Ovis aries: one gene and its partners. The protein of the gene in region 4 interacts with the protein of the main gene of each other region in a biochemical or structural test. Links are inferred from orthologs where the notes say so. Each region holds a gene or a part of one and is shown on either strand. Other genes may lie near its edges.

The links.
Region 1: the proteins of SPI1 (region 4) and MECP2 form a complex in vitro, tested with the Homo sapiens proteins (2 studies listed by BioGRID). The link is inferred for Ovis aries from reciprocal best matches to the Homo sapiens genes SPI1 and MECP2.
Region 2: the proteins of SPI1 (region 4) and IRF1 form a complex in vitro, tested with the Homo sapiens proteins (2 studies listed by BioGRID). The link is inferred for Ovis aries from reciprocal best matches to the Homo sapiens genes SPI1 and IRF1.
Region 3: the proteins of SPI1 (region 4) and IRF8 form a complex in vitro, tested with the Homo sapiens proteins (3 studies listed by BioGRID). The link is inferred for Ovis aries from reciprocal best matches to the Homo sapiens genes SPI1 and IRF8.
Region 5: the proteins of SPI1 (region 4) and IRF4 are reported together in a solved structure, tested with the Homo sapiens proteins (2 studies listed by BioGRID, with this or other methods). The link is inferred for Ovis aries from reciprocal best matches to the Homo sapiens genes SPI1 and IRF4.

Annotation. Positions count from the first base shown.
Region 1 is NC_056080.1:80,216,834-80,222,624, reverse strand, and holds the start of MECP2 (methyl-CpG-binding protein 2), read right to left. Parts: upstream 3,629-5,791; 5' UTR 3,596-3,628; coding exon 3,534-3,595; intron 1-3,533. UniProt on the Homo sapiens protein: Chromosomal protein that binds to methylated DNA. It can bind specifically to a single methyl-CpG pair. It is not influenced by sequences flanking the methyl-CpGs.
Region 2 is NC_056058.1:19,726,111-19,731,906, reverse strand, and holds the start of IRF1 (interferon regulatory factor 1), read right to left. Parts: upstream 3,370-5,796; 5' UTR 3,147-3,369; intron 2,130-3,146; 5' UTR 2,125-2,129; coding exon 2,038-2,124; intron 749-2,037; coding exon 649-748; intron 1-648. Other genes in the region: uncharacterized protein LOC114114850, read right to left, coding at 4,556-4,733. UniProt on the Homo sapiens protein: Transcriptional regulator which displays a remarkable functional diversity in the regulation of cellular responses.
Region 3 is NC_056067.1:11,356,499-11,362,327, forward strand, and holds the start of IRF8 (interferon regulatory factor 8), read left to right. Parts: upstream 1-2,153; 5' UTR 2,154-2,214; intron 2,215-5,829. UniProt on the Homo sapiens protein: Transcription factor that specifically binds to the upstream regulatory region of type I interferon (IFN) and IFN-inducible MHC class I genes (the interferon consensus sequence (ICS)). Can both act as a transcriptional activator or repressor.
Region 4 is NC_056068.1:76,139,912-76,145,839, forward strand, and holds the start of SPI1 (transcription factor PU.1), read right to left. Parts: upstream 4,097-5,928; 5' UTR 3,900-4,096; coding exon 3,855-3,899; intron 2,251-3,854; exon of another isoform or gene 2,236-2,250; coding exon of another isoform or gene 2,215-2,235; intron 1,510-2,214; coding exon 1,410-1,509; intron 1-1,409. UniProt on the Homo sapiens protein: Pioneer transcription factor, which controls hematopoietic cell fate by decompacting stem cell heterochromatin and allowing other transcription factors to enter otherwise inaccessible genomic sites.
Region 5 is NC_056073.1:51,017,443-51,023,528, forward strand, and holds the start of IRF4 (interferon regulatory factor 4), read left to right. Parts: upstream 1-2,004; 5' UTR 2,005-2,064; intron 2,065-3,234; 5' UTR 3,235-3,294; coding exon 3,295-3,510; intron 3,511-4,492; coding exon 4,493-4,679; intron 4,680-5,449; coding exon 5,450-5,538; intron 5,539-6,086. UniProt on the Homo sapiens protein: Transcriptional activator. Binds to the interferon-stimulated response element (ISRE) of the MHC class I promoter. Binds the immunoglobulin lambda light chain enhancer, together with PU.1.

The DNA of each region.
Region 1 (5,791 bases), on a different chromosome or scaffold from region 4:
CAGTGAATTGCAGGTCTATATATATGTATATAGAGTGCCCCCAGCTCTTACGCACCGAAGCCTTTCTAAGGCTTGATCCCGAGAGTCCAGACTTCTGCAGTATAACAAAACAGCTATGCTCAAGACATTCACACACCAGCAGAACCAACGTTAACTGTGCCTTGAAGAAGTGAAAAAGGCCAAGGCTTTACTCTAACAGAATGGTCACAACGCCTCTTAAATATGGGAGTGGCCATGCCCTGCTCTCACTCTGTTCCCCCCCCCCCCGACACCATACCTACCATCAAAGAGGTAGAACCAAATATTTTAAGCAAAGGTGTACAAAGCAAGCTTTCAACAGGAAGGGGCTCCATGCCAAAGAAAGGCAGAAGAGACCAGGTAAATGCAGAAGAGCACAACTTTTGTGTCAGTGAGTCCAAGGAAAAGAGACTTTACATCCATCCTACCCAAACTGAGGTAAAGGCACAGTGGTGACAATGACAGTTTCACTGGAAGGCACTGGTACAGAAGCACTGAGAACAAGGTCCTCCAACTGGAGCAGTAATAATGCTCTACCCAAGAAAAAATGGTTGTCTGCCAGCCACACAAGGCTGGTCTGCGTGCGCATCACCAACAAAGGGTGGGGAAAACAAACAGGTGTCTGCCACGCTCCCTGGAACCACCAGTCTAGGACTATGTTTTACCCCCTCTGTGCTTGAAACACTAGTTACTGCAAAAGTCAAATCCTTTCTATAATATTCTTCTCATAGATAACTCGGGCAAGCTGGCCACAAACTGCTCTTAGCCAGTTAAAAGATTTTCACTGATATTCACCTTTACAAAAGATCACGGGTTCCAGGAGACATCATTTATCATGTAAATAATCCCGGGCAGGTATATTAACAGTGGAAACCGCCCTCCAGGAAGGAACTAACACTTTTCCATCGGCTCTTCTTTATTCTAGGTTCAAGAAGCAAGGTTCTCATTCCGTCTCCACTTGGGGGAAGGGGTATTCAGGAGGAAGATATCATCATATTGGACTCCTCTAGCCAATTCTTCTGTCAAATTTCACAGCGTGCCTCCCCATCCCACTAGATTCAGCCACAAAGAGGCAGGGCCAGCCAGCAAACAAGGGCTGTGGCTGGAAATCGCAAATAAAATGCAAAACAGTACTCGAACCCTCTTGCAACATAAGCAGCACAAAAGTTGGAGTATGGTTGGACTGCATCATGCTCTGTCAGGTGAAACAAAGACCTGGGATTCTAGGTTGCAAGCATTCCAGGCAAATTTGTATTCCAGGCAAATGAGTATGGTGTGTACTGGCAAGAAAGCCATAGAGAGTTTCCTCAAGCTGTTAGGACACCATGACTTCAGATGCCACCAGGTACTTTGCAGACAAACTATATTCTGGAGGCTGTGGGATAGGGGTATGATGGAACAGCTCACTGGAAGGGCACCCGAGGCGGCTAACGCACTGACAATGATGGGAAACGAAACAGAGCCCTTGCCGGTCACATCTGAGGCTCAGATGTACAAACCTTGGAATCTTCGTTAAGTGAGGCTTGTGTATCTGTGTGTGCAGACAGGAATGCACCTCAGTGATCAGCCCCCTCGCTGACATGCCACGAATGGGTGTTCTGTGGCAACTTATTCAATCAACTCTACACCTCTGTGACTGATTGTGCCCTTTAAGGTTCTGATACGTCCGGGTAAAAAATGAAAGCAAATTTTTTCCTAGGTTCCAGGACTAGGATTTAGAAGTCCTTCAAAGCCCATAAATAAATCTATTTCCCTAAATCCCTAGTGGAAATTCCCAAAAGACCTAAAACTAAAAACCAGATTTTAAAAAAACATAAAGATTCAGCATATTTCAAAGGACCCAAGAGGTTAATGGCATTCTTAGTTGAAATCGTTCAGATGCAGATGAAAATTCTGACGGTGGAACCCAAATTTCTCCTGGATAGCAACTGCCTGTTAATAATGATTTTTGCTACCAAGGCCGATATATGCTTCATTTTTGTAATGTAACAAAATGCCTAAAATTTGCCAGAGTCCTCAAGTCTTAAGCCACTCAGCCTCACAGGCCAGTAGGTTCGGTTCTGTGATCACCAACCACCCACAGAATTCTATGCTACCATCTCACAATTTGGGGCACTGATCGGCACAACAGAGACACAACTCTGAATGGCTTTGCAGCCCGTTCCTGTTCCTGAAAAACGAGAAGCACACATCTGCCTGACCATGAGTCAGGAATATCAATTTTGTGGTGGAGCCCATTTCGGCTGTGACCAATCCACACCGAACACACTCACAGTAGAAGCGACGGCCACAGAGGTGTATTCCACAGCCAGCCTTCCCCGCCCTTGGAATCCACACTTAGCAAGGCCATGAACGGTCTCCTCTGTGAAAGCAATCTTTTAAACTCTTCACCATGACCTTAAGTCTTCAGTGCAAAACCACAAAAAACATTGCCACACCACTAATCAGTCACCTGAGTTTCAGTATGGGTGACTCAGAAGCAAACTAGAAAGAAAATAAACTTTCAGGGACCAAGCGATGGGCACCCCGGCGATGCGGTGAACTTGCCCCATCTGGTACTGGTGATCTTGAGCCGGGCGCGCTCCGGGACTATGGAAGCCCGTCACAGACTGAGTCCCACTCCACTTATGTAACTGGAAGATCGCCGGCGAAGCGGGGCGGGCGGGGGGGAAGGATGGGAGGGCGCTCGTATTCTGAGGCCATGCCCCCCCCCCCCGCAAACGCCCTGGGAGCGTGCTCCCATCGAAGCGCTACGGGTGCTGCCGGACACCCCGTCCCCTCCCCACGGCTCCTGATGGCAACTATCACCGCCTCTTTCTGATGAGCTCTGGGGCCAAGAACACAATGTCTAGTGCCTTTTGTGGGTGGACAATAATTCCCACCTACTTGTTCTTGCTAGATGCGAAAGGAACTCGCTCGCGGCGGGGACGGTGGGGGGGCAGAAAGTCATGGAATGGGCGAGAAGGAGGGGGAGGCAAAGCCTGGAGATGGGGGCGACTGCCCAGGAGCCCTTGTGGCGCACTCTCCCGACGGGAGGAGAACTGCGCACGCGCGCCAGTGGGGGGGGCCGAGTAACGGGAGAGGGGCGCGCGAGGGAGGGAGACGGGAAAGCGCGAGCCAGGGAGAGGCCGGGGGCGCGGGCGCGCGACGGCGCCGCGGGCCCGAAGCCCCGCGAAGGGCACGACGCGCGCGCAGCCCCGACAGGCGAAGCCCCGGCGACAGGGGTGCCCGCGGGGCCGGGGGGCCGGGATGCGCGCCGAAGGCGGGAGGGTGGGGGGAAGCAGGCAAAGGCAGCCTGAGGAGGCCGCGCCGAAGACGGTCACCCGCAAGTGCGGGTAACGGGCCGCCGCGGGGGGGGGGGTGCCGTCACCAGCGGGAGGGGGAGGGTAGAGAGGAGGGACGCCATCCGCCAGCCGTGTCGCCCGACCCCGCGGGCCCCTCCCGCGCCACGTCCCGCCCCTACCCCCCGCCCCCCAGCAAGGGTCCCCGCCCGCGGCCGCGGCGGTCCCACTCACAGTCTCTCCTCCTCGCCTCCTCCTCCTCCTCCGCTCGGCGCGGCAGCGGCGGCGGCGGCCATTTTCCGGACGGCTTTTACCACAGCCCTCTCTCTGAGAGGAGGGAGCGCGCGCGCCGCCGACGCCGAGACCCCGCACGGCCGACGTCGCGCCCCGCCCTCCCGACCGGCTTGCGCACAGCTGCACCTGCGCGCCTGCGCCCCGCCCCCGATGCTTCAGCGAGCTGGCGCGCCATTGGATGTGTTGGCCGGGGTGGGGCGGGGCCTCGGTGGCGACGCCCCCAATTGGCGGGACTCGGTGTCCGTTCCGGCGAGGGAAAAGGGGGCGGACGCCCCGTCTAGCTGCCGATTGGCTGCCAACGGCCGTCATTTGGGGAAAAGAGGCGGCTTGGGCGCCGAGGGGATGGTTTAGTGGGCGGAATTTGAATATTAAGGATTAATAGGCCTTTGCGGATGCTGGGGCAAGGGAAGGCCTAGGTTCCGGACGCCTGTTTGCGCGACCATCCCGGGCCCTTGACCTGCTGTCCGCAAACACACAAAGTACATTGCTATAAGCCTCCCGCAACACCCGCATTTTCTCAGTATCACCACATTCAGTAGAAGCAGCAAAGTTGCCTGACATTGTTCCAGACAAGAACCTTGGGTTTACGAGGCCTACCGAAGGCATTCTTTCATTTGAGCCTACCGTATGCCACACTCTCAGAGGGGCAGGGAAATAACTGAACAACGAATTGTAGCCTTCACCTTCTTGCAGCTCTGGTGGGGCAAGAGGGTGCATGCCAAGGCTTGCACGAAACCTGTCATGGTTGGATGAGATGGTTTGGGGTGAGTGGGAAGAGGGGGCAGTGGAAACACAAAGAAATAAGCGCTCGGCCCGGAAGAGGTGATTTGGGACTTAAGATCCAATAATGCTGGTATAGAAAAATATTTAAGAGTATGGAAAAAGTTTTAGCTAGTGAGGGCTTCCCTTGTGGCTCAGCTGGTTAATATCCACCTGCAAGGCGGGAGACCTGGGTTGCATCCTGGGGTTGAAAAGATCCCCTGGAGAAGGGAAAGGCTACCCCACTCCAAGTATTCTGGCCTAGATGGGGTCTCAAAGAGTCAGACACGACTGAGTGACTCATTTCACTTCACTTTAGCTAATGGAGTGTTCAGGATAGTACTGTCTGTCAAGGCGACTTTACTCTGATTCCAGCTATCATCCAATCCATCCAATGCTCTTTTTGCTACTTCTTCAGTTAAGAAGGAACCGTCTGATTCTGATGTGATTCCCTACCCCACCCCCATTCATTTATTAAATCCCTGTTATGTACCAGGCACTGTTCCAGGCTCTGGATGCAGAGTACTGAATAAGTACTTAACATTCTTGTAGGGGAAGATTCAGAGTGAACATACAAAAAGTATAAAATAAAATGTCACATAGTGATAAGAATTTGAGGTAGATAAAGCAACAGTGAAAGGGGTGCTATTTAGATGTCCACCGGCTTTTGCTCTCATTTTGTTCCCCCATAGGGTTATCTATGACCAGTGTCTTCTCCTGGCAAAACTCAGTTAGCCTTTGCCCTGCTTCATTTTGTACTCCAAGGTGAAAATTGCCTGTTACTCCATGTATCTCTTGACCTACTTTTGCATCCCAATCCCCTATGATGAAAAGGACATCTTTCTCTGATATTAGTTTTAGAAGGTCTTGTAGATCATAGAACCAATTGACTTCAGCTTCTTCAGCATTAGTGGTTGGGGAACAGACTTGGATTACTGTGATGTTGAGTGGTTTGCCTTGGAAGCAAACAGAGATCATTATGTTGTTTTTGAGATTGCATTTCTAACTCTTTTGTTGACTGTGAGGGCTGCTCCATTCCTTTTAAGGGATTCTTGCCCACAGTAGTAGATATAATGGTCAACTGAATTAACTTCACCCATTCTGGTCCATTTCAGTTCACTGATTCCTAAAATGTTGATATTCACACTTGCCATCTCCTGTTTGACCACACCCAATTTACTTTGATAAATGGACCTAACACTCCAGGTTCTTATGCAATATTCTTCACAGCATTGGATTTTACTTTCGCTGAAATCAGATTGATTATATTCTTTGCAGCCAAAGATGGAGAAGCTCGATACAGTCAGCAAAAACAAGACCTGGAGCTGACCGTGGCTCAGATCATGAGCTCCTTATTGCAAAATTCAGATTTACCTTGAAAAAAGTAGGGAAAAACAATAGGCCATTCAGGTATGATCTAAATTAAATCCCTTATGATT
Region 2 (5,796 bases), on a different chromosome or scaffold from region 4:
CTGACACTGGTGCAGGCCCTGGGCTTCTCAAACGCCCAGACGTGGGCATCTGATACACCCAGCAAGCCTCTGGGAAAGCCCTACCCAGAAGCACTAGAGAGCCCAAGCCCAAAGTGCCACCTTTGTCACAGATCAAGGCAGTCTCTCTTTGGCTGTCAGCAGCCAGAAAGAAGGGACTGGTGCTTATCTGATCGTTCCAAACACGGGAGAGGACACAGAGTAGGCAACAAAGAATATTTACTGATAGGGGGACTGAGTGGTCCGAGATGGGCCAAGAGCCCCATCCTTGAAGGATAAAAGGAGGCTGCCAACCAGATGGGCCCAGGACCATTAGTCAACATCAAGAAAAAGGAAGGCCTGGATCTTTTTCAGTGTCAATGCTTGCCTCTGCTTTTGCCAGGGAGAACTTTAATTCAGCCACAAATTCCATGAAGCCATACTTTTTAAGATTTTGGCTTTATAAATTCCTTTGTGAACTTGCTGAAATGATGAACCTCTCCCCTCAAAACACAGGCCTGCTCCCTGCCCACCATGAATTATGTACATCTCAGGGAACTCAGAGACCCCAGTGAAGATCCTCTGTGTTAACAGAAGTGCCTCCCTTTCTCTCTTTCCAGCTCCTCTTAAGCTAGAGTCCAGCACACTCACCTGTGTGAATGGCCCAGCTCCGAAACAGACAGGCGTCCTTGTTGATGTCCCAGCCATGCTTCGCAGCGTGCTTCCATGGGATCTGGAAGATCATCTCCTCCTATACAGCACACGTACACACAAAGCTGTGTCAGCTCAGAGACCACAGGTTTTTGGCCTTAGTCTGCCCAGCCCTCGAGGTCTGGGAAAAGACTGACTTCCCTTTTTCACCCTGACATCTGGCTGGGGTTGACCCATCCCAACAATGGCCTAAACAGACTGGTCCATCCCTCTGGATCTCTCAGAAGAGGCTCTGGGTTCTGATGAGCTATGGCATCATCAGGTCAGCAAAGACCTCCTTCTGCTCATTACAGATGTGCTAGGACCCATACAGAGGACCCCTGGATGCTTCTCTCTGGCTTGTCAGCACCAACATGGAAGTGAGAACTCGGTCCATTATATGGGGCTTCTCAGAACAACTGTGAACACTGGCTCCTACAAAGGGAGTTCTGGTCATATACCTGCAGGAGCCCAGGACCAGACTTGGATGGTGACTACCTGTGTGACCCTGGCATTGACACTGTACCTCTGTATCCCTCACTGGTTTCCATGACATGGGGGGAAAAAAACAATACCGCAGTAACAAATATAAAAGCTAAGGTCCCACTGTTATCATTACTGCTGGTTAACAGTATGGATTTTTGAGTTGAGTTGCTCAGGTTCAAATCTTGGCTCCATCGCTTTTTGTGTGATCTCATTATCTACCTCTCAGTGCCTGTTTCCTCATCTGAAAATGGAGATATTAGTAAAATCTTCCTCGCATGGCGACTTTGAGGATTAAATGACACAATGTAAGTAACATACTTAACATGGTGCCATGCTCACTCCTAGTAAGTGAGCAGAGTAAGCATTAGCTGTTATTAGTACTACTAAGCCTTCCGGGTCTGTTCTTTTTGCAGCAGCAAGAGGCCTCTTGGGTCTGGACAACTGGTGCAAGGTTAATTCTTGGCTCACCTGCTGGGGCAGCCACCTCTTCCTGCCAGCAGTGCCCACTTCTCTGTCTCCTATCTGCCCAAGCGGAGCCCTCTAGAAGGCTGTGTGTGCCTGTAGAGGTCTCCCTCAGTACAGGCCAGAACTCTGGCTCTGCAGATGCTGGGAGAATCTTGCTGCTGGAAAACTGTTAAGTGGCCCGAGGTCGATGCCCCATGCATACCTCAAGAAGTGAGGTGGGCAGAAGGCAGCCAGTGGGGCCCTGCCTAGGCTGTGTCTTATACACTCCCTGCAGGATCCACTGGGAAATACATCTACCTACTCCTTATCACTTCCCTTTTTGAACTGCATCTGAAGCGTTGGACCCCCGAAGAACATAGGTTAAAACAGTGGCAGAAAAATCCAAAGAGTAACACTCACTTTATTAATCCAGATCAGCCCTGGGATTTGGTTGGAATTAATCTGCATCTCTAGCCAGGGTCTCATGCGCATCCGAGTGATAGGCATGTTGGCTGTGAAGAGAAGACAGAAGGCTCCTGTTAGGAGTCTGTTGAGCAGTCCCTGGCCACTACCCAGCCCCACCCCAAGTCATTCAGTTACCCTCCCCTGCCCTCATCTAGATACCAAGTACTACAATCATGCAGAAGGGGACTTTCTCTCTAATAAAACCTCCCTCCAAATCTTTTCAGCATCTTAAGCAACACACTCCCTCCCTCAGCCCCTCCTAGACAGTCTTGGGAGAGGACAGACATGCTAAGTGATACTTTGAAGATTATGTTAAGGAAAAGAGACAAAACACACAGATATCTAAATACTAGAACTTTACTCCCCAAATTCAAATTGTTTGGGAAGAGAGGGGCTTCTTTTGCTTGATGCCAAGAAATTTCCCTGTTTGAGTTGTTGTCACTAGCCGTGCACCTTCGCTAATGGACAGTCACCCTGCATCCTCGTCACCAACCCCCCCCCCCAATCTATCCCTTGCCTGCCTGACAGCCACAGTGCCAAGGCCGGTACGCTAACCCTTTGGGCCTGGTTGCCCTCCTTGGGCAAAGTGGCCCAAAGAACACCTGTGGCGCCTCTTCCCGCGGTTCCGGGAGGTCCTCCAACCACCCAGCGCAGCCGGCCCCAGCCTCCGCCACCTGCAGAGACAGCCCGAAACCTGGGGGCTGGGCCTGAGCTGGAACCGCCGAAAAGCGGGCGCAGGGAGCAAAGGGCGCCCATGCTTTGATATACAGTCGAATCCCCCGCACAGCCCTTGGATGCGCGCAACCAACACACAGGGCCACCCAGAGGCCGCCAGCGGCTCTGGCACGGACAACCTCGGCGGGGTGGGCGGTCCACGCCGCTGCCCGCCCTCCCCGCGCAGCTGCTTGCGGCTCCTCGGGCGCCCTCCGAGCCCGCGCGGGGGCCCCGGCAACGCCGCGCACCCGTCACTCTCCCGGCAAGGGTTTTAGTCCCCCACTTCCTGGTGCCCCGAGAGCGCCTTTGTCCGAAGCCACCGGTGCCCCCTGCGGCGAAGGCGCGCTCACCTCGACGGCAGGCGCTCCCCGACGGCAGCAACCGAGGGTCCCGGCGAGGACTGCTTTTGCCGGCGCTAGGAGCGCGATTCCAGTGGGAACGGGGAGAAGGCAGAGGATGCCCGGGTCGCGGAGCCGCTGGGCACGGCTGGCCTTGACTTGGCACGGCTGGCCTTGACTTGGCACGGCTCTCGCTGGCCTCTGCTTGCCAGACTTGGGCGCACGTCCTGCCTCGACGAAGGAGTGGCGCGCTCTGCCTGAACCGCGGCGCCGCGGAGAATCTAAACACTTAGCGGGATTCCCCCAGCCCGGGCCGGGCCCCGCCTCCTACAGAGCCGAGCGGACGCCCATTGGCCAGCGCCGCCTCATCATTTCGGGGAAATCAGGCTGTTGTAGAGCTAGCGGCGAAGGGGAAGTACAGGGCGGCTGCCCCTCCCCACCCCCTCCGGCCTGGCGCCGCCGCCCCGGGGCGACCGCGGGCCCGCCCCGCCGGCTCCCACTCCACCCCCATACCAGCGCACCAGCGCTCCTGGAAAGTCGAACGCCCCCGGCCCGCAGTTGCTCCCCTCACTCGGCGCTCACCCAGCCTGCTCGCTCCTGAGGCCGTCTCCTTGCTCTTCTTTCCTGGGGATGCCCCGGGATCCCTTGTCTTCCCAGCCCCGGTGAGGGGGTCACCCCGGCACCTGCCGTCCTCTTCAGAGTGGACGCGAGCATTGAGTCCTTGAAAACCAACCCGCTTCCTCAAGCCCGTTAATGGGTGTCAAGCAGGGAGCGTTTCGGCCTTCAAACCTTCGAGGGGTGGCCCACCTCCGGGGGCTTCACCTTCCCCGGGGAAGTAAAGGAAATCCTACCCTGCGTGGGGCTGCCAAGACGAGAAGAAATCCCTGTTTGGCAGCTGTAGTTTCCTCAACTCCAAAACAATAGCCCTACTTTGCTGCTTTCCCGTGACAGAGAGATGAAGTCTGAAACATCAGGCCCTACTTGGGCAGCAGATGATGCGTGGTTTTCGAGGCCCCTGCTAGAGTCTGTGACCAGGGACAGACCTCTTCCGCTTCTCCATCTACATTCTTGGGACTGCCCCGCTGCTGGCCTTAGGGAAAGAGAGAAGGGTTTCAGAGAAGCCAGGACTGCTGAGTTGGGGTGGGGGTGGGGTAGCCTTGGTTCCTCCTAGCACTCCTGCCTTAGGCCACCTCCACAGCCTCACTTGGTCCTTGCAGGAGAGCCTTCCCTGGCAGCACTGGTTTAGTTTCTGGGGCCTCAGGGCTTGGTCCAGAGAGATTCTGGGCAAGTGGGGTATTTGCTTACCTTGATCAAGGCCATGGGTCTAGCTAAAGGGTTGGGGAGCCCAGGTCCCAGGTGCTTTGGGAATGATAGCTATCGAACTCCTGTGCTTACAACTAGACCTTGCCCTACTTGTACACCTAGAGGCCGGGCTGAATCTTCATTTTTCTCTCCAGAGCTCTGGCCAGCAGGCTTCTTTCTTCATCTCCCCAAAGTTGCTGACTCAGAAGTAAATCTCTCTTCCAGGTCAGGTTGGCTGTGTCATTCCTGTCATCCCAGCTCTCCCTCCATAGCAGCACCCAGTTGCAGTGCTGCAGGCTGGAAACAGACACATGGATGCACCATTCCACCTGTCAGTCACGCTATAGCTTTCCTCCCACAGACGAAATAGATGGGTTAATCCAATTCTGGTACACCAGAATCTGATGCTGTGACTAAGGCCACACTTGGTTCCCAGGAAACCAATAGGAATGGGTCAGAGCTGTCTCCCAGATACTGATGGGTGAGGGAGCTGAGAGGCAGAGAGGCAGGAGAAACTGTGAGGAATGAGACTACCTGGGTGTTAAGCAAATGGAAGGTGCTGAAACCCTGGAAGGGGGAGAAGGGTTGGGGTGCCTTAAATGACAGAAGGGAGTGGGAATGCACTACAGAAACCAAGACCTTTCGAGCAAGAAGAGAAAACAAGTGGCTTCTGAGTTGCTAAGTCTGTTTTCTGTGCAGCAAATGAGTGCTTGTCCTACCCCTAGGAAACTGACACAGCTGCTGGAAAATGCAGAGTGAGATTAGGGAAGCGAAGTTTGCATTTCATGTGGTCTGAGAAATTGACCTTGGGAAGGCAACAGGAGAGAGTAAAGTGTGCTTTAAAATAAAAATTTGAATTCATAGATAATCATCTGTAGGTATACATCTATAATGAGCGTCTTTCTGTGTCATGAAACGTACTTCTGCAACATCATTTGTAATGGGTATATATTATTCTTCCATAAGGATAAATAAAAATTTACCCAATTAATCCCCTATTGTAGGACATTTAGGTTATTTCCATTTTTTCATAATACAGACAGCACTGTGTAGCTAAATCTTTGCGCACACCAATCATTTTTTTGCTAAGGAGAAATTCCCCAGTGTTAGTATTTACCAGTGAAATTGTCATTTTACATTTTTGAAGTGATCTTTGCCTTTTTTTTTAACTTTTAACTTTGGGGATTCTTTCATACTCTTGATGCTTATTATGATTGGGGGTGCTATACTCCAATCAGTGAAATAAAAGCTAACCTCTGTTTAAGCATCTCACATTTTTATTGTAACTGTTCTTGATGAATCCCATTCTAAGATGTATCACGCATTCCTTGTGAAGCTAGACAGATGCATTTTGTCCTTT
Region 3 (5,829 bases), on a different chromosome or scaffold from region 4:
TGCTGCTGCTGCTGCTGCTGCTAAGTCACTTCAGTCGTGTCCAACTCTGTGCGACCTCATAGATGGCAGCCCACCAGGCTCCCCCATCCCTGGGATTCTCCAGGCAAGAACACTGGAGTGGGTTGCCATTTCCTTCTCCAATGCATGAAAGTGAAAAGTGAAAGTGAAGTCACTCAGTCGTGTCTGACTCTTAGCGACCCCATGGACTGCAGCCTACCAGGCTCCTCCGTCCATGGGATTTTCCAGGCAAAAGTACTGGAGTGGGGTGCCGTTGGTTAAAGAGATTATTGTTTCTCTTTTAAATTGCCTTGGCACTTTTCTACCTTTAACTGGTAGAAAATCAGTTGGCCACTTCTAACTGGATCTATTTCTTCTAAGTGGATGTAGGCTCTGTTCTGTTCTGATTTTTCCAGAAAAAGTAAGATTAAAGCACAGTACCTCTCGTGAAAGCCTATTCATACTTTATCCAATAGCATTTTTATTATAATATTTCCATTGCCTGTGAAGAATATAGTCTATTTTTTTGTGCAAGTTTGTAGTATGCTCTGGTCAAAAGCATTTTTAGCTGGACGCAATTTAAATACTGTAACTCATGTTACAGTGGGAACAATGGTCACTATGGTCTAATGCCTTTTGAGGATGAGATGTACACCTTATACCTGAAATATACACCTTCCCCTCCTCCTGCATTTTTTTAAACCATACACAACTCCCAGGTTGGTGAGTGTTCAAGAGAAGCCCTGCCTCACACCTAGGAGGTCCCCATCTCACCACACCTTGGTGATGTTTCCCAGTTTCGAAGACCGTCTTAAACCTTTGCTGCTTATTCAAATGTCAGACATAAGACTACCAAGGCAAACTTCTGTTCTCTTGCTCAGTAATTAATAGGCAAGGTCATCAGTTGTAGACAAGTAAGTGTTAGATAATACGGGTGTTCCCACATTCCCATCTGGTGGTGCTGGACACTCACCATGCAGGGTGAGAGGGGGAAGAAAGATGAAAAAGTACTTAGAAATTCCTCTCCACTGTAAGCCACGTGTTTGTGTCTGTCCTCATCATCTGCACAGAAACGCACGGCCACTCCCGTATGGTGCCCTGCTTTCATTTAGGACACGTTTGCTCATATACGATGTCTCTAAGGCTTCTTACTCTCTTGCGTTTCAAACTCTGAAAGTGAAAGTGAAAGCTGCTCAGTCGCATCTGACTCTTTGTGACCCCTGGAACTCTCCAGGCCAGAATACTGGAGTCAAGCCTTTCCCTTCTCCAGGGCGGCTTCCCAATCCAGGGATCAAACCCAGGTCTCCCCCATTGAAGGTGGATTCTTTCAAACCCTAGTCGGAAGGAACACCTGGGTGTGTTGGGGAGTTGATGCCTTGATTTTGTAGTAAGGTACTTAAAAAACTACCTACCATATGTCAGTGTTATCATTCATGAAAGAAAGGATATTTGAGCTGCCAGTGATGAAGACTGCCTCGGACTGGCATTGTTCCTGTACCAGAATCTGAGAACTGCCATTCAGACCCCTGGGAAGGACACAGGGCCAGAATCAGTCTCAGGATGTCAAGGGTGTTCGAGAGGGGATTCCTGAAGCGGGGGAATTATGTTAGGTCAGCCATCCGGTCCTTTCCAACACAAAGAGCGGATGACCTCATGATCTGGAAAAACCTGGGATTGCTTCTCAGTTGTCTCGCTCTGACAGCCCAGCCCTCATCCCAGGTGCCTCGCTTCCCCTAGGAAACAGATACGTGAACTCGGGGCTGAACGTATCCTTGGAAATTCAGTTTGTTCTCTTTACAAAGGGGAGTTGTTTGTGTCACCCAGACAGCCGGTGGCCAGGGCAGAGACAGCTCTGTCAGGCTTTCCAGTCTCTAGATTGGCCGGTCCAGCCTGACGGCTCAGCCACGCCAGCTGCCCTCTTCCTCTCCAGCTCTGTTGCCCTCTGGGTGCCTCCACGCCCAGTTCCTTCCCCTCCTGTCATCTCACCGTGGTCCCTAGAGGAGCTGTCTCTCTCTGTTTTCTGTGCTCCACTCTTTTACCCCCGTTTCTGATGGGGAGGTGGCAGTGTGCACACATGCCCGTCTGGGGCTAGGAGTCTGCGTGCAGAATCCAGGAAGTGCTTTCAGCCTCTGAAATGACACTTCCTATGTTCCGACAACAATGGAGTGCCAGTCACACAGGATGAGCACACACGGCGGACGGCGGCTGGCTGGGGTGGTAAGGGAGCAACAGTCTGCCTTCTTCCTTTAAATCTTCCAATATTGCCGAGTCATTAGTTTTTAATGGATGGAACATTGTGAGAAATAGAGATGTGTATATAGGCTCCACTCTTTTGTCTTTGAGTTTAGAAAAATGATGCCTGAGCCCAAGAGGCTGGAGAGCTGCTTGGCCTCCTTGTGGGTGGAACTTAGAAAATAAAAGTGGAATTACTTGACATTGTTTTCAAAGCGTTAGTCATCACAGTGAGAAAAGGGAAGTCAGGCATAGACATGGTGGCCAAGAGCAGCCAATGTTTGTGGGTGATGCAAGCATAAGTGTCATCATATTAATTAATGACTGAAATTAATACCAACTAGGAGGTCAGTTGAGGCGGCCAGTTATAGAATAGCTATTCAGAAACCTATATTTTCCTTTTAAGCCCATAATGATCATTTAGAGATTGTAAGGTAAAAAAATGATTTCATTCACAGTAACAACAAAATGCATTAAAAACCTAGGAAAATTGTCACAAAAATGCGTAGGATCCAAAGTGAAAAAGACTGAAGACTCTGTTAAAGAGTGTAAAAGGCGATCCAGATGTTCTTGGATAGAAAGACCTACTCTTGAAAATATGTCTGTTTCTCATGAATTAGCTGTAATTCAGTACAGTTCAAAGCAAATTATGTGTGAGCTTAAAAAAAAAAAACCCCACAATTAATCTAAAGTTTATCTGTAAGAATGCAGCTGGGAGGATGGCTAGAAAATAGAAGTGTGTGTGTGTGTGTGTGTGTGTGTGTGTGTGTGTGTGTCTAGCTTCTATAAGATGTATTTAAAAGTTTTCATATACTAAGTTTCAGGCTTCCCAGGTGGCGCTAGTGGTAAAGAACCCACCAGCCAGTGCAGGAGATGCAGGAGACCTGGGCTGGGAAGATGCCCTGGAGGCGGGCATGGAGAATCCCAGGGACAGAGGAACCTAGGGGGCCTCAGTCCATAGAATCACACAGAGTCAGACATGCCTGAAGCGACTTGGCACACACGCACGCATGTAGTGAGTTTCACTTTTTTTGAGATACAAGTCTGTATGTTTTCATAACTATGTGAGGCTCTGCAGCCACACCAGACCAGGAGACAGTGCGCCCCCGCCACCCCCTCCGATCTTCAGGCTGCCCCTTTGTAGTCTGAACTCCCCCTCTGTCCCTAATCCAAGGCAACCATGGACCTCTGGTTGGACAACCCACTCTAACATTCTTGCCTGGGAAATTCCATGGACAGACGAGCCTGGCAGACTTCTGTCCATGGGGTCGCAAAAGAGTCTGACACAACTTAGCAACTAAACAACATTCTGTCAAGTGGAAATGTACGGTGTACTATACCACTACGTGGAAACACATCACAATGTCATTATCTATTCATCCACTGAAGGATTTCCATATCTTTGTTTTTGAGAAATTATGAGCAAAGCCAAAGCTGTAAGTTTTGTGTACTGATTTTTGGAATGACATGTTTTCAGTTCTGTAGGGAGAGGGTGGACTTGCTTGAATTTATTCCTGAATTTAGGGGGAAAGCATTCAGTTTTTTAAATAGTAAGTATAATGTTAGCTGTCGGGATTCTGTAAATGTCCTCTATCAGGTTAGAGAAGTTTCCCTGTATTCTTAATTTGCTGTTTTTTTTTTTTTTTTTATGTCATGAGTGGATGTTAAATTTAATCAAATGCATTTTGCGTATCTATCCAGATACTGAGGTGGTTTTTATTCTTTAATCTGCTAATTGCTTGATTTTCTCATGTTGATCCAGCCTAGAATTCCAGGCTAGATTCTACTTGGCGTTGATGTGTGTTTTTCTCATGAATGGCTGCGATTTGCTAATATTTCGATGAGGACTTTAGTGCCTATATTCATGAGGGATATTGGGCTATCGTTTACCTTTCTTGTGTATTATTCCTCTGGTTTGGGCTGCACAGAATGAGATGGGAATTTTCCCATCTTTTATTTTTCTGGAAAAGACTGTAGAATTTGTATTATTCCTTTATTGAATGTTTGGAAAAGGGCTTGGGATTTCTTTCTTGGAAGATTATTTTTAACTCGATTTCTTTCAATACAGGACTAGTTAGAATATCTACTTCTTGAGTGAGTTTTGATAGTCTGCATTCTTGAAGGAAATTGGTCAAGTCCATCCAAGTTGTCAAATTGCTTACAGAGTTGTTTATAGCATTGCTTTGCTCTTTGTCTAACATCACTGAGATAACATGGTATTCCTTATTTTGGTGATGTTTGTCTTTCCTCTTTTTTTCTTGGGCAGTCTGGCTAGAGGTTTCTCAATTTTCTTGATCTTTTCAAAGAAACAACTTCTGGTTTTATTGATTTTATCTTCTGTTTTTCTTTTTTAATTTAATTCACACTTGTTCCTGTCTTTATTTTTTCCTCTCATTTTGCTTGGTTGGGTTTAATTTGTTCTTCTCCTTTTTCCTCATTTCTTAGGCTTAGATTACTTATTTGAAAACTACCTTCTTTTATAATATAAGCATCTGACTGTCTCTATTCTTTCCTCTAAGCACTGCTTTACTGGCATCCTGCAGATTTTGATATTTTGTATTTTCATTTTTATTCCATTCCAAACATTTTATAATTTCCCTTGTGACTTACTTTTTGACCCAGGGATTATTTAGGTGTGTGTTTAATTTCCACATATTTTTTCTGTGGGGAGGGTTCTAAGCATTTTTTTTTTGTCATTAATTTGTAGTTTAATTCTACTGTGGTCAGAGAACCTCCTTTGTGTGATTTCAGTTATTCTAAATTTGTTAAGGTTTGTTGTGTGGCTGAGGCCATGGTCCATCTTTAGAGTTTTCTTTTGCTGGATGGGCTGTTCTGTAAGTGTTGGTTAGGTTAAGTTGTTTACTATGCTGTTCAGCTCTTTTATAGTCCTGACTCCAAGTATAATTTATTTATTTTTGTTGTGCCACACTGCTTTTGGGATCTTAGTTCCCCAACCAGGGATCGGCGAACCTGGGCTCTGGCAGGGAGAATGCCAAGTCCTAACCAGTGGACTGCCAGGGAATTCCCTAAAGTATAGTTTTAGAATCTGACTATTTCTCCTTTCATTTCAATTTATTTTTTCACTTATTTTGATTCTGTGTTGCTAGGTGCCTACACATTTAGATTGTTTCATCTTCTTGGTGAATTTTATCATCATATATTCTGAAGATAGATATATATACTTTAACATGGAATGATCTATACAGTGTTTCTCTGAGAAAATAAATATAATGATTCTATTTATGTAAATTTTATCTGTTTATCATCATCACTCTATCATCTATCCATTATCTATCTATCCACCCACCTATCAATCATTTGTCTAGCCTACTAATCTATCCAACTAATGCCTACCTCCAACCCTTAGACCAGCTAGGGATTTGGAACAATGTTATCCAAATGTTGATGGTGTTTATATTGAGTGATTTAACTTGGGGGAATTTTAATTTTTTTCCTATGCTTTTCTACAGTGTGGAAATTTCCTAGAAGTATCTTTATAAAAAAAATAAAACCATTTTAGTAGGGGATTGCCCTAAGTGAGATCCACAGTGAAGAACAGGGAAGCAAAAGAACTGGAAAGTGAAAACAAGCAGTTTACAG
Region 4 (5,928 bases):
GACATCAGGTGTGAATTCCAGGCAAAACTGTTTGCGGGCTTTGCCATCTGGATGTGAGGGCCCTAAATAAGGACTTGCCACATATGGCATCTCTAGGTACAGACATCAGGCTTAAACTGCCAGAGGTGTGCCAGCAGAATGGAGCTCCAGGTGTTAACGGCCCCCAGGTGAGGCCCTTCCTTGGCTATGGCAGAGCACGCCTGTCCCTGTGGGGTTGCAGACACCCCGCTGTCTGGCTTGCCCAGGCCTCCACACCCCCTGAAGAATCCCTCAGTGAAGACCCAGTAACCAGGCCACCTCGCCTATTGTTCAGAGATATTCCATCAATACACTGAGATCTACCACCGGTGACCTCTCTTAGCTCCCTGCCCAGGTTCCAGACACTGAAGGTCTCTCTCCCTTTCCCTGAATTTGCTTCAGGATTGAGCCTGGGCTTTGGGGTGGGGGGCAGTTAGACCCAGATAGAAAAAAGCCCTGGCCCAGGCCCCATCCTCACCCCCACCTCCAGCAGACAAGGTTTCAGCCCCTGCTGAATGAACAGCTCTCAAATGGGAGCGGTTCTGCACCCCGCCCCCACCACCAGGGGATATTTGGCAACTCTGGAGACATTTTTGGTTATCATGATTGGCAGTAACACTGGCGTCCAGTGGGCAGAAGCAGGAATGCTGGCAAATACCCTACAAGGCACAAGACAGAGCTCACAGCATAGAAGTATCCAGCCCAAATGTCAATAGACTGCTGTTAGTCACACGCAGTGGCGACTGGGGCTGCACCAATGAGGGGTTCAGGGTCACGGGCAGTGACAAGAATGGAGAAGAAGATGGGGGGTTGAGGGAGGAGAAGAAGACAAGGGTTCAATCCCTGGGTTGGGAAGATCCCTTGGAGGAGGAAATGGCAACCCACTCCAGTATTCTCGCCTGGGGAAGCCACAGGACAGAGGTGCACAGAGGACTACTGTTCCATGGGGCCCCAAGAGCTGGACGTGAATGAGCGACTAAGTGAAGCCGAAAAAAAAGAGAAAGCGCTGGGCCTGGAGCGGGCAGAGCTGGGCCCCCGCGGCCAGTGCGCCTCCTTGTACAAGTCCCGTAGCCTCTCCGCCTTTTTCGTCAGGTGGAAACAGGCCGAAAGGATTGGATGAGAAGATAAAACAGGGAAGAAGCTCGCCCGTGCCTGCACACCAAGGCTGCTCCAGAAACGCACGCTGGGGGTATGGGGTGTTGGTGGGGAGCAGGAGCGTGGGGTTTTAGGGTAGGGAATTCATGTCCCTGAGAGCTAACTGGATCCGATCCTCGGAATTCCAAAGAAGCCTCGGGAAGGGTATGCTTTTCCTTCCCCAGAACGCAGCGGTGGCGCCCGCCGGGGCCAGGCCAGGCTGGGGAAGTCAGGGCAGGGCGGGGCCTGCTACTCACCGCTGTGGCTTTCTCCATCACTGCTGAGATAGGGGTAATATTCGTGCGTTTGGCGTTGGTAGAGATCCGTGTCATAGGGAACTAGGTCTTCCGATGGCTGCTGAGAGAGGAGGGGGTCAGAACTCGGAGTGCGGCGGGGAGACCCCAGGCAGGTTGGCAGGACACCCCAGGATGTTGGGTCCACACTGAGCCCCTTTATCAACTGGGAGAGGCCACGCAGGGCGCAAGCGGGGGGACCCAGGGGTGCAAGAGCCTTGGCTCCGGCGGAAAGGGGGTGACAGAGACCTTGGAGGGTCAGAGGTCAAAAGAAGACAGGTCTGAGGGGACAGCTCCCCCGGCCACCTCACACTCACGCTCCACGGCATGCCCAGGTCCCAGCCTCACACACTCGCCCGCTCACAGGCACATCGACGTGCCTAAACCACCCCCCAAATGCACACAAACTCCCCCTGACACATTTCTTCCCACACTCCCAATGTGAGCTCACACGTCCACTCACAGCCCTCACACTCACCCCAGGCACACACGCCAGTATACACTTGCCTGTAGGCGCTTGCAGAGTCCCTGGGGTTGACATGCGAATCCACTCCCTCACCTCCAAGCGCGCTGACACACACTCACGCCCATGTCCTTGCTCGGTCACTCATGTTCCTGCACGCCCATCGCCCAGCACACAGGCTTGTCCTCCTGCCATAGTCCCCCAGGCCCCCAGGCTCTCTCGCTGCCCGATGTCCAGGTCCCAGGCCGGCTCAGGGCCCCCACCCCCACACTGGCTGTCCACACTGATGGGCTTTAAAGGACTCACCCCACGCAGGGCTAAGGCCATGGCTTTGGGGGCCTCTCCCTCCTCCCCTTTCCTCCAGAGACACTCCCTGGTCCCCCTCCCTCCGTCTCCCCATCCCTGTCCCTCCCCACCCCACTCCCTGGCCAGGCACTGGGATATGCACACCCAGAGGCTTCCCGACAGTCACCAGGCCTCTCCCCACCCCCGCGCGTGTGCCCAAGGATTGCACAACTGTCACCCCGGCCCTCGGGGCTTGGTTTGGGGGCCAGAGCTGCCTTGGGAGCCCACCTTCACAGGACCCACTCTGCGTCCCCCCTGGACTGGGCCAAGGGGCTCAGGAGGCTCGCATGGAGCCCAGGAGGACATGTCTCCCACTCAGCTTTAGCTGGGGTTCAGGCATTGAGAGGTCAAGGGTCAGAGACAGGGTGGCCGGGCCCCGAGGCCTCTGGCTGTCTTGAGGCAGAGTGGGCTCTTCCTGAGACCACCCCCTATCACCCTCTGCCTGTCTCCCCCATCTTCTAGGTTCCAGGTGGGGGTGGGGGGGCCAGGGCCAGGTCAGAAGCCGGCTGGCTTGTCCCATCTGTGCCCGGCCCTGCGTGGAGCCTGGCTCTGGGTCTGCAGACAGCACAGCCCCACAGAAGGGTGTCAGGCTGGGGTGCCTCCCTGGGGCTCTGGGCCTGCCTGGGGTGGGGTGGCCGGGGATAGGGGGAAGGGAGCTGCCTCCAAGCCGGGAAAGCTGAGTCAGATGGGCAGGCCCGGCCAAGCCCTTCCCAGTTACCCCCAGGGCTCCCCATCCCCGGCTGAGTGCGGAAGGGGGTGAGGAAAGGGAGAGGGGTCCTCTCAGAGGGGCCTGGTGGTGTGACACCTGCCGGAGGCTGCAACTGTCACTGAGAGCGGGAGCGGAGGGGGTCTGCCCCAGACGGCCGCCCTGCCATCCCTGGAGTCCCCTGGGACGCCCGCTTCTTCACCTCCGGCCTCAGCCGCTGCCCTCACTCCCGTCTCTCCTTGGACGAGGTCCTCCCCCAGCCCCAGTCTCAGCCCCGGGAAGGCTCTGCCCTCCTCTCCGCAGTCCCAGCCCCAGCTGCCTGGCCAGCCCCTGCTCCCCTTGCTGCCCCAGCCCCCGCCTCTGCCTCCGCCACTCGGGGCCCAAGGCCCAGACCTCTCGGGTCAACAGGCACGTCCTCTGTGCCTGGGTGGCAAGGACCCAGGTGTAAGGCAGCCACGGTCTCGAGGAGCACCCAGTCCAGGGCCCGGACCTTCGGCCTCTTGCCTCCTGCCCTCCAGCCCTTCACTGTCCCGGGGACCGGCTTCCCTCCACGCCAGCCTTCCCGCTCCTCCACCACCAGCTCCCCGCTGCCCTCACCACCCTCAGCCCAGCCCCCCCAGGCCCGTGGAACCCCGGCTGCCACCCAAGCCCCATCTATAAATAACCGTTCAGGCCCCATCGATCACAGCCCCACCGTGGGCCCGGCCCTCAGCCCGCCGGGGTGTGCTTGCTCCAAGGAGGCCGATGGCCCTCTTGCTTGGGTCTCAGGCCCTGGGGCTCCAGGGAGGAAACACCAACTTCCCACTGATAGGGGAAGGCAGGCGGCGGGCTGGCGGGCAGGTGGCGGGCGTCCGAGGGCCGCGGGCTGGGCTGGTGGAGGAGTCCCGATACTCACAGGGGGAACGAGGGGAAACCCTTCCATTTTGCACGCCTGTAACATCCAGCCGAGCTCCGAGCCGGTCAGGTCCCCTGCCTCGGTGGGGGCCAGTGCGGAGCCCCTGGGGATGGGGCGCCCCGTCGGGGGTGGGGGGGGCTGGACCGCTTCGGGGCGGGTGCAGGGCTCAGGCCTGCCCCTTGAGCTACAGGAGCCCTGGGTGAGCCCCCTCCCTTGACATTGCAGGGCCAGCGCAAGTTCCTGATTTTATCGAAGGCCTGCCGCTGGGAGATAGTCCCCTTGGGGTGACATCACTGCCCCGGCCCGTTTGCATAAATCTCTTGCGCTACAGGAAGTCTCTGGCCGGCTGGGGCAGGTGGTGCTCCAGGGGCTGGCCTGGGAGGCTGAGGGGGAAGCCGGGACTGTGAGGGGCGGCCTTGAGGGCTGGGGTAGGGTGGGAGAACGGGAGGGCGGAAGGCTGGCTGCACCACCACGAGGAGGGCCTTGCTGCCCCCCGGGGCCTGTGGAGGCTCTCTCACCCCGAAACCCCGCAGATGCCTACTACTTTTGAGAGCCCCCCTCCATGTGGCCAACAGTCACTTCCTTGGGGGATCGGAGCTGGTAAGGGTGTCCTCTTGGGGCCTCCACGCTCTGGGGTCAGCCTGGTTGGCCTAGGGCTCTGGTCCGGCTAACTGCCAGGCCTGGCTCTTCCTGGGCCCATAGGCTCCCAACCGCTCGGTCCTACCAAGCCTGGGGCTGGGCCCTGGGGCCTGGTCATCAGCATCGTGCTGATTTCTCCTTCCTTCCACCAGCTTCATTTCCACCAGAAGGATTCTTACACCCTCCCCTCCCAGCTTCCTAAGGGTCACCATGCCTTCCATATCTCTGTTCCCAGCCCAGATTTTTCAGTCTCCCCACCCCTTACCAATGCCTGACTGTCAATCGAGTCTTCCTAGTTTACAAACTTTTCTTGTCTGTCCATCCGTTCATCTGTTTTCCATCCATTTACTCATCTGTTTTCTCAGTCCCTCTATCCACCCGTCAAGCCAGCCGTTCACTTGTCTCTCAGTTTAATCCAGCTCTTCATTCCCCCATTTATCTGTCAGTCTACGATCCATCCACCCATCTGTTTGTCTTCTCATCCACTGAGCCATCATACGTCCATTTATCAGCCCATCCACTTGTTACTCATCCACGTTTCCAGCTGTGTGTCCATCGCGTGTCCAGCTGTCAGTCTGATCATTCATTGGTCCGTCCATTCATCTAGCCATCCATCCATGTATGCATTCCACCATATCAGCTGAGTTCTAGGCTTCATGCCCATACGATATGGCTCAGACGGTAAAGCGTCTGCCTGCAATGTGGGAGACCTGGGTTCAAGCCCTGGGTTGGGAAGATCCCCTGGAGAAGGAAATGGCAACCCACTCCAGTTCTCTTGCCTGGGAAATCCCATGGACACAGGTGAGTGGCAGGCTATAGTCCATGGGGTTGCAAAGAGTCAGACACGACTGAGTGACTAACACACACAGGGTTTATGCTCAGTCCTGGGAAAAGAGAAAGGTCCTGGACAAGACTCCTGTCTTCAGGGAGTTCCTGATCTAGTCTGAAGGGCAGAAGGATGAACAGAGGCCATTTTTAAATCTTTGGTCTCTAGTAAGCCCACTTCTCCAGCTCACTGAGAGCTCACTCTCCTCTCCTGCGTAGTCTTACCCTTGCTCTGAGTCCCATTCGCACTAACACTGCGTCCTTCCTGTCAGTGGACCACAGATACCCGAGTGCTTCTTCACTTGCGGCGAAGGCCAGGGGATGGCAGGCCTGGATTCACCATGAGACTCCTCCCGTCTACATCTTCACTGTTTTGCCTCCATCTGTGGGACTTTCCAAGGAGTCCAGGTCGCTGGTCCTCAGGACACCCTAGGAACCTGACCAAGGCCCCTCCCCAAGAAGAGGGGAGAGGCGGGCTGACTTGGCATCTGTGCCATCCCTGACCCCACTTTCTCATCAAGAAGGCCTGTCCCCACTGACTGCACGGCTGTGAGGCTGGGCTCTGCTGCACGAGAGCCACGTCCTGCTCGATGTGTTCATTCATTCATTC
Region 5 (6,086 bases), on a different chromosome or scaffold from region 4:
AGGGGCACTCTGATCTCAGGCGTGTGGGGGAGGGCCAGTCTGAACCTTCTCTCCCTTCTGTTTCAGCCGTGACTAAGACAGGGAAGTCTGCAGTGAGCAGCTAACTGGTGAGGCCAAGCCCTCCCTCCCCACCTCCTGGGGCAGTGAGGACTTCAAGAGTTCAGTGATTAAAACACACGATTCTCTGTATCCACCTCATCATAACAGAAAATACCACTTCTGGTAGATCAATACGACAAATGAGTAAGCCAGAAGATGGCGTTGAAGGTTTGCAATCACATTTTAAAACAAGGCCGACGTGGTTTTCAGCGTCTGAAAGTGCATGAGGGGAGCGGTGAGATAACCAAGTCGCGGCAGAGGACACGTGTGCGAAAGCGCAGAAAGCTCTAGTTGGCGGGGTTTGTTCTCTGCAATCGTCCTGTTGCTGGTGAGCACGCTGGAGAAAGCAATCCACTGGTTAGAGCGCAAGGCAGCTGGGAGGCGGCCATGTCCACTTTGTTGGCTGAGGTATCCAAGTGCTGAGCTCAGTTCCTGACAGTCAGAGGGGCCCCCAAAATATCTGTTGAATGAATGAATCCATGAAAGAAGAAAGGAAGGAAAACCGCCGTGACCAGAATTTTCTTTGAAAAATACCTGCTGTTTACTACACAGACTCTGATAGTGGAAAACTTACTTGAGTGAATAAAAGCATAGCATCCTGTTAATTTCTGAGAAAGCCGTTAGTTTGAGGAAAAGCTCACCCACTCTGTGCCTCACGGCTGTTTTGCTCTAGGCTGGCTTGGTTGTTTTTTTGGATGGGAGACAGTGGCCCAATATTTAAAAGAAAAACTGAGAAATAAGAGAAATCAAAAGTTTTTCAAAAGTAGCGAGTTGACCTAGGGTGGTGGTGGCCTAAAATCATACAGAAACCAGTGATCTGACGGTTTACCTGAAATTGGTGTCTACACAAACATGCTGAAGCATTCGAGATGCTGGGGGGGGGGGGGGCGTTAGATCTTGGAACATTAAGTAAAATCCCTTTGTTTAAATATTGTTCTTATTCTGGCCATTTAAGCTCCCACTTGTAAATTGTTTCTCCCACGTTGAGGTTAAAACTATGCCACTGAGAGGTGGACCTGGACACTTCTTCCAGTTCTTCCCTGCTGCCACAGCTAAAGCTGTGGGGGTGCTGTCTCAGTTACTGAAGTCCTCCAGTTGAGCCGACCAGCAGGATGAGAGCATTTCAAGCCCAGACAGCGTGTGAGCGCAGTTTATAGCTCAAGGTATCTGGGCCATTTCCTTTTTTCTTTTCAATGAGTGTGATGTTCTCTAAACACGGCGGAGGGGCGGGGCTCTCGGTGACAGCCAAGGGTGCCCCCCACCCACCCACGGTCGGTCGACACGGACAGTCCTGTCTTTGGTTACGAGCTCTGCAAGCCCAGTCCCCATCGCACCAGATTCCCGCTCCTGCACGCCCCCACTTCCCGCCCTGACAGCGCCGCTGTAGCTGAGCTCCTGCTCAGCGGTCCCGCCGCGGAGACGAGGTCCCCTCGCGCCTTGCCCTCGGCAGGAAACCGCCCGAGTGAGGCTCCCCCGGCCCGTGCGCCCGACTCGAGGTGCGTCCCCAGCGCCGCCTGGCCCCGCGCCCTCGGCTCTCGGTCCGCAGCCCACTACCCCACCCCGCGCACCCGGCTCCCTGCCCAGAGCCCCCAGACCAGCCCCGCGCGCCCAGCTGGGAGCCGGCGCCCCGCCAGCCCGGGTTCCGACCCGGCCCCGCGCCCCGCGCTCTGCGTCCGCAGCCCCTAGCCCAGCTCCGGCCCCGCGCCCCCGGCCCTCCGTCCGCAGACCCCGCCGCACCCCGCGCGCCCGGCCCCCTGCCCGGAACCCCCGGGCCAGCCCCGCGCGCCCGGCCCGCGCCCGCGGCCCCCGCCCCGCCGGGAGGCGCCCCGGTCGGCCCCGCCCCGCGTAGGCCCCGCCCCGAGCGCGGCTTTCAAGCTTTATAAAGTTCCTCTTTCCTACCTCCGAGGTTAGTTTCGCTGCTTGGACTTGGGACTCACCGCTGCCCTCAGCTCAAGCCGGGGCGAGGTAAGACTGGGGTCGGGAAGGACGCGGGCTGCCAGCCCGCTACCGCAGGAGCCCGGCGCGAGGCCAGCCGGGTGGGGGCCGCCTCGGGGCAGCGCGGGCCGCCGCGGCGTCGGCGCCAGGCGAGAGCACGCCCCTCGAGGGACCCCGACGCCCACCCCGTCTGCCCTTGGCCGGGGAGTCCCGCGGCCCCGGCGTCCGCGGGTCGGCCGAGCCCGGGCCCCGGAGGCCACGCGCGGGGCCGGCTGTGGTAACGAGGTCGCTGGGCCATCAGCGCCCGAGGGGGTCGTCGAAGGGACCCACCCCGGGCGGCAGCCCTGACCGCGGGGACGGCCCCTTCCTCCCGAGGCTGCTTCTCTTGCTCCTCGCTCTTGAGGGGCTCACAGCCCCCTCGGCCCCGAGCCCGCGTCTTCCCGACCGGTGGTGGAAGAGGAGGCGCTCCAAGTTCAGGCCACGAGGGGCCCCGCGCTCCGCGACCCCCGCCTTCCCGGCACCTTCCCGCCCCCGCGCTCCCCGCGGGCCTCCCCGCCCGGCTGATGCTCGGCGCGCGGGGATCCCCCACGACGAGGCTGCGCTCGCCGCCTGAGGCCGGGTCCCTCTGCCGCGTGTGGCTCCCGGGCCACCTGGTCGTCGCTACCTGTCTGGGGCTCCGGGGCATTCTTGGGGCAAAGAGTGCGGGTTTCAGAGAGAGCCGCGGGGGAGCTGCCGCCGCCGCGCACCTGGAAGGCCAGGCCACGGGGGAGCCCGCGTGCGGAACACGCGGGGCCACCGGGGCGCGGGGGCGCGGGCGGGGGCGCGGGCGGAAACTGGCCGTGGCACGGGGGATGGACTGTCCACGGCTTGGGCCTGGGCAGGGGAGCGGGAGTACGAGAGCAAACGGAGGCCCACGCGTGGGGGCGGCTGGATTTCGGGGGTGCGCGAAGATCAGAGCCCTGAGTCTGGGCGGCGTGCGGGCCGCGGGGGGAAACGCGAGTGGAGCGTCCAGAAGGTGAGGTCGCGCACGAGCTCAGGGAGGCGGGAGGGCGGCGCGCCAGGGGCACGCACGAGCCGGGGCGGCTGAGAAGGGCCTTCTCTCGCGGCTCGGGCGTCACAGACTCGGCGGCGCGCGCCTCGCCGCCTCCGAGGCTCTGCGGCCTCGTGGTCATTGCCGAGGGCCGCCTCCTCTCCCCGCAGCGCGGAGCGAGTGCCGGAGCGAAGCCTGGGTTGCGAAGGGACAGCGTCGGCGCGCGGGGCATGAACCTGGAGGGCGGCAGCCGAGGCGGCGAGTTCGGCATGAGCTCCGTGAGCTGCGGCAACGGGAAGCTCCGCCAGTGGCTCATCGACCAGATCGACAGCGGCAAGTACCCGGGGCTGGTGTGGGAGAACGAGGAGAAGAGCATCTTCCGCATCCCCTGGAAGCACGCGGGCAAGCAGGACTACAACCGCGAGGAGGACGCCGCGCTCTTCAAGGTGCCCGGGCGGGGCTGGGAGGGGCCAGGGCCCGCGCGCCGACCCGCCCCGGGCTCCGGGGGCCGGTCCGCGCCGCGCGCACCGGGCCTGGTGCGGGAGCGCGGGGGTCCCGCGGCTGCTCTGGTAACTTCGCAGAGGGCGGAGCCGGTGCCACGCCTGAGGGGCGCACGGTCCCCCGGAGTCAGATGCCCGTCCGCGCTCCCGCCGGGTAGAGGGGTGGGCCAAGGCTGCGCCTCTCTCTCCCTGGGGCCCTCTTTCTGGAACTTTGGGTACCTCCTCGCCTCCACGTACCGACTGTGTCTCCTCCTTGCGCGCGGGCAGCTGTGTGCGCCGCGCCGCTCGGGGCTGGTCCCTGCGCCCTCTCCACGCTGTCCCGCCTCACGCCCCCTCTCTGGCCAGCGCTCTCCTTCGGGCTCTCTCTGGTCCTTGGGCGCGTCTCTCCCTCTGTCTCACTGTCTCTGTGTGACTCCCTCTTCCCGAGTCTCTCCCTGGAAAGTTTTCTCCGTCTCTCTCCCTTCCTCTTTCTCCTCTCTCTCCCTCTCAGGGTCTCCTTTGGGCCTCTCTCTGGGGGTTTCTCTTTGCCCCGTGTGTGTGTCCCTGTCCTGACCGTTTTCCCCTTGGGCAGTTTACCCAGTGGCCAGTGCTTTAGGGCCCAGCCCCACCACCTGTGGGCAGAGCGTGGCAGGGGGACTTCCTCAGGAAACTTGCTGGAAGAGTAAGGCTTGCCTCAGGCTCCCTAACGTCCAGAGGTGCCCTGCGGTGGCCCCTCAGCCCTCAGCTCTGTCTTTGCTTCCAGCCTAACTGCTTCCTGAGGGGTGGGCTTTGTGGGGTCCTCAATCTCACCCGTCTTTCATAAACACCCTCTGTCCCACCTTCCTGTGGACCTGAAGCCCCTGCCGCCATTCTTTGCTTTAGAGATACAATTTCCAGATTCTTTTTTGAAAGACCTGCATTTTAACTTTTCCCCACTTTTTCTCACCAGGCTTGGGCACTGTTTAAAGGGAAGTTTCGAGAAGGCATCGACAAGCCAGACCCTCCCACCTGGAAGACACGCCTGCGGTGTGCTCTGAACAAGAGCAACGACTTCGAGGAGCTGGTGGAGCGGAGCCAGCTGGACATCTCGGACCCCTACAAAGTGTACCGGATCGTCCCCGAGGGAGCCAAGAAAGGTGGGGCTTGCCGGGCTGGGGCCACCTGCGCTCGCGCCTCAAGACGGCTCCCTGTCAGGGTCCTGTTTTCCCTTTGCTGCTTTGTAGCCGGCTCGCCTTGGCCTCCCGGTCCAGCCTAGCGGGCGGGTTTCCCAGCTTCTCTGGGCCCCAAGGGGGAGTTCTCGCGGTGGTGCTGCCGGGTGGTCTCAGGCTCCTGGTCTCTTCCTGTGTGTGCATACGCCTGCGTTTTCTAGGAAGTTCTCCTGAGATTCGGGCCCGATTTCCAAGCCAAGAACGGAAAAGCTGTTTGAAACTTTACTTATTCATCTGTCTCTCGTGATTAGCCATTTTGAGGAAGGGAAGGTTCATGATCTACATTTCGTTACCATTTGTAGTAAGAGAAGTGTCAACATTCAAACTTTGCCGTGGTCAACTGGGCTGCTTATTGAAACTAAGGTTCCCACTTTCCAAGATTCTGGACCCAGAGCAAAGCCCAGTTTAACAAACCACAGGTGACCTCACTAGATGGACGTCTGCTGGGGGAGCTCGTGCCACGAGGCCCATCGCCCTCAGGCTTCTCGACTTGGGCTCGCTTTGTGGCGCCTTGTAGGAACCAGTTTAATGGCCTGGACAAACAATTGCCCAAGGGAGTTGCAGGAAAATGCCCTATTTGTCAACACTGTGCTATGCATTCTAGGAACTGGACTCTCAGGTGTTTTTCTAAGATTTGACGTTTCATGCTGTCAGTTCCTTCTTCACACCGCGCATTTCCCTTTTCCCCAAACCCTCAGGAGCAAAGCAGCTGACCATGGAGGACCCGCAGATGCAGATGAGCCACCCGTACAGCATGCCGACCCCGTACGCCTCGCTGCCTGCCCAGGTGCGGGAGGGGCAGGGCTCCGAGCAGGGAAGGCTGGGCCTGTGAGGGGCGCTTGGGCCAGGTCCCACGTGGCGGGAGCGGCCTGCAAACAGAAGCGAGCAGAACTCCGTTTTGCTGTTTGTCAAACTGCTGAGCCACGTCCCAGGTCACTGGATGGGTGTGTCAGTCTCCACCTGGTGCTGGGGTTTGAAGAGAGGGAGACGAGGGTGGGTGTATCTGCTTGCTGGTTAGATTTCCCCACTGACTCTTCAATCTTCTGGGAAACAGACCTTTTGTGGAAGCCAAAGATTTTGGAAGCAGGGCTTTGTCATGTGAAACCACAGGGCAGCTGACCCCGTCGGACTTTTCCGATGTGAATCCCAGCCCTGTTTTATCCACTTTGCTGGAAGGGAGGCAGAGCCCCCAGAAAGGCTCTTGGTTTAGCCATGTGATGAAGCGTCACATAAAGCCTCACATAAAGCGCCGCTTTACGGCACTGTCTCACTTGCGCTTTCGATTCTTCGTGGCGAGTTTCCACCACAGCTTTTCCTATAATAAGAGGATTTGGC